Linked DNA regions of Lytechinus pictus. The protein of the gene in region 3 binds, or shares a complex with, the protein of the main gene of each other region. Links are inferred from orthologs where the notes say so. Each region holds a gene or a part of one and is shown on either strand. Other genes may lie near its edges.

What was found.
Region 1: the proteins of negative elongation factor D-like (region 3) and negative elongation factor B-like are in contact, whole or in part, in a crystal structure (PDB 8JJ6), measured with the Homo sapiens proteins. The link is inferred for Lytechinus pictus from reciprocal best matches to the Homo sapiens genes NELFCD and NELFB. Residues at the interface, in XP_047296144.1 of Homo sapiens: Arg63, Ile66, Met67, Glu68, Pro69, Ile71, Phe72, Leu75, Ile89, Gln90, Leu92, Ser93, Tyr96, Thr97, Ala98, Val99, Ala100, Gln101, Thr102, Val103, Asn104, Leu105, Leu106, Trp109, Leu110, Gln112, Thr113, Gly114, Val115, Gln121; in NP_056271.3 of Homo sapiens: Met49, Leu53, Leu56, Val58, Ala59, Asn60, Gly61, Leu64, Lys65, Leu68, Thr69, Leu75, Ile78, Glu79, Phe81, Gln82, Glu84, Asn85, Gly86, Val87, Leu88, Leu89, Ser91, Leu92, Ser94, Ala95, Leu96, Pro97, Phe98, Leu99.
Region 2: the proteins of negative elongation factor D-like (region 3) and negative elongation factor A-like are in contact, whole or in part, in a crystal structure (PDB 5L3X), measured with the Homo sapiens proteins. The link is inferred for Lytechinus pictus from reciprocal best matches to the Homo sapiens genes NELFCD and NELFA. Residues at the interface, in XP_047296144.1 of Homo sapiens: Cys204, Gln205, Gln206, Leu207, Glu208, Phe210, Ser211, Leu214, Arg215, Leu218, Ala219, Ile221, Leu222, Asp223, Gly225, Glu226, Cys241, His242, Gly243, Glu244, His245, Thr246, Tyr247, Leu248, Phe249, Ala252, Met253, Ser255, Val256, Leu257; in NP_005654.4 of Homo sapiens: Leu23, Trp24, Ala25, Leu54, Leu58, Leu61, His62, Arg65, Pro88, Trp89, Met92, Val93, Ile96, Leu97, Phe100, Gly104, Ser105, Leu106, Leu108, Leu110, Asn116, Val117, Asp119, Ile120, Leu121, Glu123, Leu124, Arg125, Lys127, Val128.

The regions. Positions count from the first base shown.
Region 1 is NC_087259.1:18,432,903-18,436,657, forward strand, and holds the start of negative elongation factor B-like, read left to right. Parts: upstream 1-998; 5' UTR 999-1,066; intron 1,067-3,755. UniProt on the Homo sapiens protein: Essential component of the NELF complex, a complex that negatively regulates the elongation of transcription by RNA polymerase II.
Region 2 is NC_087256.1:23,774,994-23,778,748, forward strand, and holds the start of negative elongation factor A-like, read right to left. Parts: upstream 3,003-3,755; 5' UTR 2,929-3,002; coding exon 2,716-2,928; intron 273-2,715; coding exon 101-272; intron 1-100. UniProt on the Homo sapiens protein: Essential component of the NELF complex, a complex that negatively regulates the elongation of transcription by RNA polymerase II.
Region 3 is NC_087246.1:62,259,512-62,263,266, reverse strand, and holds the start of negative elongation factor D-like, read left to right. Parts: upstream 1-1,279; 5' UTR 1,280-1,395; coding exon 1,396-1,443; intron 1,444-3,755. Other genes in the region: small nuclear ribonucleoprotein-associated protein B'-like, read right to left, coding at 1,042-1,044. UniProt on the Homo sapiens protein: Essential component of the NELF complex, a complex that negatively regulates the elongation of transcription by RNA polymerase II.

The DNA.
Region 1 (3,755 bases), on a different chromosome or scaffold from region 3:
GATATGTTTAGCTAGAAAACGTGTTTTCAGACAATATTTTACTCGTATATCACAATTACATGCATTTTATGTACTTATTCTCGTGAAAATGAGTTTCTCCATTCGCATTGTACATAATGTATAATGGGCATATGGCGGCCATTTTGAATTTCAAAATACAGCATTTATCACATAAATTGCATCTCAAATATTATATTCCGTTAAAATTGAATTTTTAGCCAATATGCCACTCACTTATCTTAATTATATGCATTTTAGTACTCACTCTTGTGATTTTCTTTTGTCCCCATTAACATTATACATAATACTGTCAGGGCGTTTGGTGGCTTTTTGAATACTAAAATGTTTCATTTATTACACATATGACATAACAAATGATATATTTCGTTAGCAATCATGTTTTCATCCATTACTTCACAAAAAATCACAACTACTTGCATTTAGTGCTCACTTTTGTGAAAATTATTTTCCCCATTCATATTGTACATAAAGTTGAATACAGCGGTCTATGGCGGCCATTTTAAATATCAAGAAAATACATATTTTTTTCAAAAATCGTTTTTTCAGAGAGTATTTCACTCCTGCAACACAATTACATACATTTTATAGCCAATCTACTGGCAATTTTATGATTTTCATGGGTAATTTGCACATTTTGGCGGCCATATTATTTTGCCAATTTGCGGAAAATGCTCAAGGTTACACGAGTGGCATCATTCAGATTCGTAATCAGCACCCTCGAATTGACAAGAAACCATGAAAAAATATTGTATGTATGAAAAAACAAGGTTTGGACAATTTTCTATGGGGCCTATCCTGGACTATTACGGGGTCATTTTGCACACAGAAAAAAACTCGTTTTTTTAGGGGGGTGTTTGGAAATAATTTGGTCACGCATGTGTGCAGCAATACATTTGACTTCCCCCAGCCCCCCCCCCCCCGGGATTTTTAGACATTTTTATTCTCGCGCGCTTGAAAGATATGGGTCTATGGCGCATGCGCATATGAAAAATTGGCCCATGGCGGCCATCTTCGGAAATAGTACACGCTCTCTAAATTACGTCAGGTTCGTTTAGTTTTAATTTCGTTAATACCACATTTCATTCTGTATCATTCTATTGTATTGATTCCGTCAATAAAGATCTTTATTTTTTGTTAATTTCAAAGCGTTTTGGATATTTGAAGAATAAATATCATTCAATCTTTGTAGCAGATGTTGCACGTTAATGTCAAGTAGGTTCTTCATCTTGGTCCCAGTCGTTCAAATACATGTATGGTAATAAGTAGACCAAAAGCTTCGGTCTCTGTTATGTTGGTTGTTCAGCTGAACTCCGTTGGCTTCACTCACCAAATACAGAGACCGAAGTTCTAGCGCGATCTGTACAGGGGACTCAATGGCCATATGTTTATGTACTTAAGATCGGATAAAACGGGGAAGTGAATTTGCGCGACAGCCGAGGTAAGTCACTGTTTTTGTTCCTTTTAACTTGATTTTTCTCAGTTTTTTGGCAATTAATGCCAAGAGGGAATATTAATTTGCATTTTGGTCGCGTTAATTTGCAAAATTTTTATTCATTAAATACAAAAATTGAAGAGCCCCGACGGGGGGATTTTGCATTGCAAGTCCCCTAATGGTGGCTGCACGCTAGCGAGCCGTCTGTGTACGACTACGAGGAGAAATTTAAAAAAAAAAAAGTTAAAAAACTCCTCGAAACAGACGGCTGCCAGCTGTCTAGGTAATAAGGTGCCCGAACTGAAGGAAAAGTCTGCGCAGTGCCAGTGGCTTTTTTCTGCCTGCGCCTAACTTACATGTATGATGGGGGGACCTAAAGCTACTTACTTTGTTTTCAAACGATATAGACTATGCCAATTTTAATATTTGAACAAAAATATATCGGGTCAACTCGGACCACGGGACATCTCGGACCGCGGGCCGAGTTGTCCCACCCATTACGAGATTTTTTTTCTCACAAATCTGCGTCTATTTTTCCGTCATTTCGTAATTTCTTGTAAAGATTTTCTAGAGATATGGTCTGATGGTAATGTTCTTCACTTTCTATTACTTTTTTTCGCTGAAATAAAAAAAAAGGTGTAATTTTAGGCGTTTTTCGACAGCTCGCGATTCCCATAGGCGCGCGTGTATTAACCGTGTCGGTGCTCGGCTCGGCCCCACTCAACAACTGACTTGATTTTGTGATCATTTCTCCTCAAGTTACCACTTTTATCGCAGAAGATGGACTTTCTTGTATTCCATTAACTCCATTTTCTCATCACAAGAATAAAATTTGGTGCATTTGCACGATTTTGTTAAAGTTTTTCACCTTTTCTCTCTGGTCGCAAGAAGCGAACAACCGATGAACGGTCCGCTGCTCTTCATCGCAATTCTACGTAGCTCGGCCGCCTAAACTGGCGGGGTGGGATTCAGCCCGAATCCTCAATGGAAGTGGGCGTGCACAGTCAAAGAGCTGAGCTTGACTGAGTGAGAGAGTGAACTAGAGCTTGAAGTTTGGCAGTGTCGTATAGGCTCTGCCTTTTTTTGTAAATATTTATATATTTTTTTATTTTCCCTGGTGTAGAGCTTTAAGATAATAATTTAATATACTTCAATTTCTTTGACTGAGTGTGACTGTGGTGTGGATGTTTGAGTCGCACAAAAAATACTTTTACGAGGGTGGGGGCTCGGGGCGATTTCACTCCTGCCCCCGAAATGTGAAAAAAATATTCGCAGTGTAGATGTGTGGGCATGCCGTGCTGAGGGTAGCCATCAATAATAAATGTTTATTTGGGGGCTTAATTTTTAACTTCAAATTGATTATTTTTAGGCCTATTTTTTTTTTCATTTCATTTTATTTTTTTATATTGAGTGTCCCTGGTGTAGAGAGCTGAGTTTTAAGTTGTAATAATCAATATGCTTCAATTTCTTTGACTTTGAGTGTGACTGTGGTGTGGATGTTTGAGTCGCACAAAATATACTTTTACGAGGGTGGGGGCTCGGGGCGATTTCACTCCTGCCCCCGAAATGTGAAAAAATAAATATTCGGGGTGTAGCTGTGTGGGCATGCCGGGATGAGGGTAGCCATCAATAATAAATGTTTATTTGGGGGCTTAATTTTTAACTTCAAATTGATTATTTTTAGGCCTATTTTTTTTTTCATTTCATTTTATTTTTTTATATTGAGTGTCCCTGGTGTAGAGAGCTGAGTTTTAAGTTGTAATAATCAATATGCTTCAATTTCTTTGACTTTGAGTGTGACTGTGGTGTGGATGTTTGAGTCGCACAAAATATACTTTTACGTTGGTGGGGGCTCGGGGCGATTTCACTCCTGCCCCCGAAATGTGAAAAAATATTCGCAGTGTAGATGTGTTGGCATGCCGGGCTGAGGGTAGCCATCAATAATAAATGTTTATTTGGGGGCTTAATTTTTAACTTCAAATTGATTATTTTTAGGCCTTTTTTTTTTCTTTTTTTATTATTTTTATATTGAGTTTCCCTGGTGTAGAGAGCCGAGTTTTAAGTTGCAATAATCAATATGCTTCAATTTCTTTGACTTTGAGTGCGACTGTGGTGTGGATGTTTGAGTCGCTCAAAAAATACTTATACGTGGATGGGGGCTCGGAGCCTCTTCACTCCTGCCCCCGAAATGTGAAAATGTTCTAGGTGTATCTGTGTGGGCATGCCAATTTCATTTTTATTTTTTATATTGAGTTTCCCTGGTGTAGAGAGCCGAGTTTTGGAGATGGTGAGAGGGGCGAGG
Region 2 (3,755 bases), on a different chromosome or scaffold from region 3:
AGTGCGACCTAAGTCATGCTTAAGTCTTTGTGAAACACCCCCCAGGTTACATAAACTCAAAACTTTAAAGCATTGAGATATGTTCCGCCCTGAAACTCACAGGTTTTCCGCAGTTCATGAAGAGCTTCTGCCAAGAATGGATGACTATCTTCTAGTTCCAGGTTAAGCTGACCAGAGACGGGATACGATCTTAGAATGTCTGCTACTGTGGCAACCCATTCATCCGTATCGGTGAGGGCTTGATGGAGAATACCGCTCAGCTCTTCTTTGCACTAGTTTGGGAGAGAATTAATCAAACAAGATATGACGAAGGCTGGTAAAATAAGAGAGGAGGAGGAGGAGGAGAAGAAGAAGAAGACAAAGAAGAAGAAGAAGAAGAAAAAGAAGAAGAAAGGAAACTATATTAAAAAAAAAGAGAAAAATGTTAGAGGCAAAAATGAATGCTCAATGATTATGAACTCTGATTCATATTCATGTTGATTCCCATATTTTGATATAGGGTCTATTATTATTAATGAACAAAACCTTCACTCAAAACCTGAACTTTAGGTTTGATATTTGGTGGAAATGATATATATATAATACAGGGTTTATCATTTGGAGTTTGGAGTTGAAATCTGGATTTTCCTGTGGTGAGTGATAGTGCTTGTGTACATAATTTGTTTGGTGTGTGTTGTTGTGATTGAAAGTGGTGGCTTGTGAAAGTAGTTTGATCTGTCAGATCTCGGCATGTGAAGAATTTAGGGTGCAATACTATGACATGACATGGCTCACTTATTCATTGCTTGTTTATCCGCCATGTGTGAACAGTTTGATTAAGTATTCTCAATGAATTAAATTTACTCTCACCATAATTACTGATAGTGTTTCTTCATTTTAAGCATGAATATATATTTTGCATTTCCTTAATATAACTTAGAACCTTGAACTCTAATTTGACAAGAATGATATTAAATCACTCAAAAGAATATTTGGACAATCCTTGCATGAGATAGAGCTCAACAAATTTTTCTGCCATTTCACCCCATGTTTTGTGAAGATAATGGTTAGTGGTATTGGTAACATTACAAATATTGTTTATATTAGGCTATAAAATTGTTAATTTTGACTTTTGGGCTTAAAATAAAATACAAGTTAGCATAAAAATGGTGTTCTCTTAAATGATATCAACTTCTTAGGAAATCAAAACCAGAATCAACTGTCGATGTTTTGATGTAAGCAAAACATCAAAGATATTAGATTCCCATAAAATAAATTGGAAAATCATGAACTTCCTCACTCACACGTATTGCGAGGTTAGTATTAGTATTACTAACTTCCTATTTTACCCACTCATTCAATGAACAAGGTTATGGTATAACCTTGTTCTCAGTTATATATCCATGTGTGGCAAAATAAGGATGGCAATGTTTGGCTTATTTTCTCTTTTTCTTTGGGACAAATACTTGATTTTTTTACACTGACAGTTTCCATTACACCTATTCGTCATACAACTTGGCCCTTAAGTACATTTGATTCTTTAAATTATTTTTTCTTAATTAAAAATAGAGATAAAAAAATGAAAATTTTCTTGCCATATTATTTTCCACAAATAGAGGGCGTACACAAAAATATGCCCAAAATTCAAGTTTTTGAACGCTCTAGTGAATACAAAAATTATTCTTAAGTTACTAATGAAAAATAAATTGCAACTGTATGGAAATTAGTAATTTTGGTCACAAAAGTGATATTTTAATCATTTTTTAAAGTGTGTGCTCTGTATAGCATTGGCATGCCATAGTCCAACCTGTAGATTCCCAACAGGCAGGGTGGTTGCAGTGAACAAGTGATTTTACCAATATTTTTAGTTTTTCTCATTACTAAAGCTTCGTGCAGATTTGTAAAAAGACCAGAATTTACATGATGCTAACCATTAAATAAAAACTGCTCAGGATCAACTGTAAAAACTGCATTGAAAAAAAAGACAAAAAGTGTCCGACTTAAATTTAGAAATAAATGTTACTGTCAGTAGAGGCGCACGGCCAATATTGGAGACTGTCTCCAATGTGGGAGATTATCTCCAATATCAGAGACTTTTGTGAAGAATTTGGGTATCCAATTTCAGAGACAGTCTCCAGTTTTGGAGACCAATTTCCTTTGTTTACAATTGCTGCAAAAGGATTACCTTGGCGGCAAATAAAAATGTGATAAGCAGATTCCTCATGAAAAATTACCCCTTTTCACCGTCTACACTAAAAATTCACCGTCTACTTTTGTTTTGATAAGGATTTTTGTTGTCAATCACACACTAAACAAATGGGCTTCTGACCTCAGTGAGACAAAATTTTGGGTGGAAAAAATCATGCTTTTGTTGGTGTTGTTTCTTTTGTCCTTTTGCAAAGCAAGTCTCCAATGTGGGAGATTGTCTCCCCTATTGGAGAGAGTCTCCCATATTGGCCGTGCGCCTCTAGTGTTAGTAGTATTAGTAATTAAAAAGTTAAATTTGGGGTCATCGTCGCGTTCATACAGATTACAGTCAGCACAAACATGCTGGAAAAATGATGTGTTATCGTCTCCCTACCAGTGTTAAACTTATTATTGAAAAAAAATGCAATGACTTTGGTATTCATATTTAAGACATATTCCTTTAAAGGCTTTATTCTGACAGCTCTCTGTATCAGCTAACTCACTCATCCTGCATACAAACTTGTGAATAGATGGGACCACAATACTCACCTCTTCCACTTTTCGAAGAGGCATATGGAGAATTGCCATCAAGAGTTTGAGTTTTACAGTCGGGTGTAGAGTCTGAAAGCAATCATGTGTGTTTCTAAGAACATCTTGGTGAAGTTGAGTGCTAATACTTGTAATTCCAGACCAAAGATCATCATTATCACCGAGTTTATTGTGAAGCCAAAGGCTGGTGTCGCTGTCGCGAACAGTCGCCATATTGCGCTTATAAACACAAACTTTTCATGGTGGGCCGGGCCATACAGCGCGACCATTAAGAAAAAGAGTAAAGTAATCAGACCAAACATGAAGGGAAAATTATGTACCCTGTCTACAAAAGGACAAACCAAAATCATGAAATTATAAGACTATTTGTAAGGTATCACAGCACGTATACCTAAGGATGGGATCGATATCCCGCTATTCATCCTCTTAAAAAAATAATTGAAAAAAGGAAAAAGGAAGGAGAGGAGAAAAGAAAGAAATAAAGAAGGGGGGCAGGCGCGGTTCTAGACTATTAAAAGATTGGGGGGGGGGGGAGGGGTGGCTTCAGGGGGCTTGAGAATTTTTTGTACATTGGTTTATTCAATACAATGAAAATGGCCCATTGTGGGGTAGCCTTATACTGTCCCAGCAGCTAGTCCCTCTCCCCCTTTAAAAAATACATTATTAATATTATGCAAGGGAGCGTAGTGACAGAGCGAAAAAAATCACAGTCTCAAAATGCTTGAGAATTGTTTATATATAACATACATCAGGGCCTGATGGGTGTTATATATGTAAATGAGGGCATTTAACGATAAGGGGGGGGGGGTACTTAGGACTGGTTATCAGGAAATGGATTTGTTTAGAGACTTTGAACGTACTAGTATAACAGTATACGACAGCTAGAGGCATAGGCCCGGGGGGGGGGCACTCAGTATATAATGCATAGTGGGTATGTGCCTCGGAGGGGACCCCCATTTTTACACTCAAATTTCCGTTCCAAGGCATAGCATTTTAGTCTTATTGAGGAAAAGAACACAGAAAGCCGCTCCAAAGCATAG
Region 3 (3,755 bases):
GGGATTCAAGACTCCACGATGAAGAAATATATGTCAAAATATTAAAAAAAACATCATCATCATGATCATGGAGTCCTCAAGACTACATGTAAGTAGATCCTAAGTAAATAAATTCTGTTTACCATATTCTTCCAATTGTTTTTTATGACATTACTACAATTCAACATTCATACCACAGAAAACATAGATCCTACATGAATTATATTTGATTCAATGATTGTATTTTTGTTTTGGATCAAATGACTGAATAAAATGAACTGAATTGAATATAAATTAAAAAAAATAAAAAGTGTGGATATTTGGGCACTTTACTCTACAAGTTACAACCATTCCCGATCGCGATATTCAGAAACGCAGGGGCATATTGACCTCAAAATGTGACTGAATTTACTTGCCATGACAATTTTGCAAGCAATTTCTGACTCGAAGTCGGCCAGTGTGAAATTGCATTGGCGCCGTAACATCACAAAATTTGTGAAGAATTAGATCAAGTGCAAAGTTCAGTTTCAGATTGTTTTATAATTCTTTACAACACATACAATTTTGAAATTTAGTCCAACAGTTTTTTTTTCAAGCTCCCGAGGCTGAGCTCCACAACTCAAAAGCCAAAACTGGATTAAAATACAATACAATGAATTAATACAAGTTACAAGAATCAAGATCAGAAGATACCAAAATTCTTTCTAACAGTAACATTAACAAAGTTAACGTGGAGCTCTGCGTTCCGTATCTGGCTTGAATTGGCCAAGTAAGGTAAGGAATGCAGAGCTCTACGATTTAGAGCCATATTAAGTTGAAAAACAACAACAGCTAATTTGTTTTCAACGACTTCACAAGTCTCTATGAAAGCCGAATCAATGCCATTTTTAGTTTCAAAGAGAAAACCGAAACATACACAGATATGTACATGTGGGACACCGTTTTCGAATACACACATCCCCGCAATAAGTCACAAATTGTGAGCTTCATTAGATAAATTAAAATAAATCGTAATACATTTCATCGCATATATGTATATTATTCATATAAATATATAGTTACCATTTTGAAAGATTGTTATAGCCCCGATGTAGAAGGATATTGACTGCTTTCGTCGACCGTCACAAACATTCGCGAAACGACACGCTCAGCTAGCTGGCTCGAGCAGCGCGAGCATATATGCAAATATATGACGCCAAACAGCACGCGCGGCGCAATACGGAAATTAAACCAATTACAGAGTCCGTCTCAGACCCCATCTTTGTCAAGTGGGAATTTACAGACGATTTGATTGGTCCTTAAGCACAACAAAGATGGCAGCGCCCATGGCCATACTTTTCTACGTTGTCGATGTCTTGCATTAGGACTCTATAGGAGACTATTTTATCAGTTCTAACTTCATCTCTTGAATTGAAAATGGATGAAGACGAATATGGAGATGTTGACTGGAACTATGACCAGGCTGTACGTATGCTTAGTAATTCTTTTTAGCATTGTCTCATTTGTCTGGGTTGGGCGCCAACTGCACTCCGTCTCCATACCAGCCGGCGGGCGCGCCGGGCCCGCGGACTTTGCCCGTGCCTGCGCCCGTTCTGCCTGGCTATGGCTATGCCTATGGCTATGCCGCTGTTCGGTAAACGCGGTAGCAGTGCCAGTGCTGAGGGTTACGATACCTCGTCCTCGGGCGAAGTTCGTGCAGGCTCCACTTCACTACCACTGACCACTACGCTACGAGCGTAGTGGAGCGGAGCCTGCATGAACTTCGCCCGAGGTAAGGTCGGATTACCAGTGGCAGTGCTGAACTTAGACAGCTGGCAGCCCTCTGTTTCGAGGAGTTTTCTGACACTTTTAAAATTATTTTTTTTAATTTCTCCTTATTATACACAAACGGCTTGCTATCCACTCTAGGCGACACCCCAATACTTACCCGTGCTAATAAACTGGGACTCCACTCACGCGCATTTGGGCCGCCCTAGCTTAGAACTAAGCTTTGTTTTACTAAAAAATAAATCTTGTAATGATTCAATAAATGTTACTTAATAAATTAGTACTGTTAAATCGGTACTCACCGGTTCTTTTCTTGAATTTTCTGGCAATTTCCCACGCTTCTGGCTTCAATTCTGCGGCTGTTCCTGTCGCGGTAGACAACTACATATGCAACTTTATTTATAAATAGAGCGCCCCTTACGATAGTTGTTAAGAACGCGGCCAAATTGTTAGGTTTTTTGCACTGTGTCCAAGGCGTTTTTATTTTGTTTGATTTTTTATTTTTAATAAATATTTTGTTAAATAGCGATTTTTACGTCAAATATTAAATTCATATCACAAAATATTTTTTATTGTAGAAATATATATAATATCATGCAATTATTCATTCTATATATATTTTATAATAAAATTTATAATTGTTGCGGTCTTTAAAAAAGGATAGTCGATTGATCAGGTGATGACCACATGTATCACGTGATCTGAAAATCAGCTTCATACCGCTTTGATCGCACTCGACATTGACCGGACTGACTGCCAAAAAAAGATCGAAAAATGACTCAAATGTAAGTTTCCCTTTATTTTATTAAATTCAAATTAGGAATAGGAATATATTTAATGGGCAATCTTTTAATAAATGATAAACAAACGAGGACAAAACTCATATTTTGGGAGTAATATACTTGGGTGCAGGAAACAGTACGTTTAGAAGTTCTAACCTGTTTTTAACGCATTGTCGCCTATGAGGTCCATACATGTTAATGTTTGGACCTCATTGGTACTAGGAGTGTAGACAGGAATAACCGTCGTTTCTGGGGATTTATTCAACAATTTCTGACATTTTACTGTAATCCCCATTTACCGACGGTAGGGTGTACGTGTGGGCTCGCATGTGTTCTCATTCCCTCCCTTTTGTCAATTCACAGTCCAAAGTTTGATGTAATTTTACACATCGAATTTACAATCTAAGGATGTATAAACAACAAACTTTTAATTGATGATATTCTAACATTTAAATACTTTAAACGATATAGATGAAAAAGGCATGAAAAATATACTTTACCGATGTTTAATTGGGTTGAACACGATAAAAATGGTCAAAATGGCAGCCAAACTATAAAATATTTACAAACGAACGTCAACAATCACGAATGTGATATCGATATTGCTTTCGATATTATACGATCTGCTCCATATGCGATCGAAACCGAAGATAAACGATACTAGTTATACTAGTACTAGTACTAGTTATAATCGCGATATATCGATTCGAGACATTAAGTTAATAACGATAATGACGTCATTCAAGATGGCAACTTGCAAGAAAAACCGTCAGGTCAGGTGAAAATGTCTTAGATGACAGATTTCTCAATCATCCAGAGGATTTTTTTCAATAACTCCGGCCCAAGGTATGCAATTACTTAATTTATTTATACTTCCCTGATAATGGAAACCATGAAACTTTCAATTTTGCTTAAAAAACAGTTTTAAATCGCGATCTATAAAACGCTAGTTCACTATACGTTGGCTGTAGGTACGGGGCCCCACCCCCTTCAGTCTATGTATGGTGAGTGGAGCCAACGTAGTTCAGCGGAACAACCAAAATACAGAGACTGAAGCTTTTGGTCTACTAGGAGTGTTGCTATCGTGCAGCCACCATAAGGGCACTCTAGGCGACACCCCAATACTTACCCGTGCTAATAAACTGGGACTCCACTCACGCGCATTTGGGCCGCCCTAGCTTAGAACTAAGCAATATTATCTAGAAATTGTTACATTGTAGTCATTAA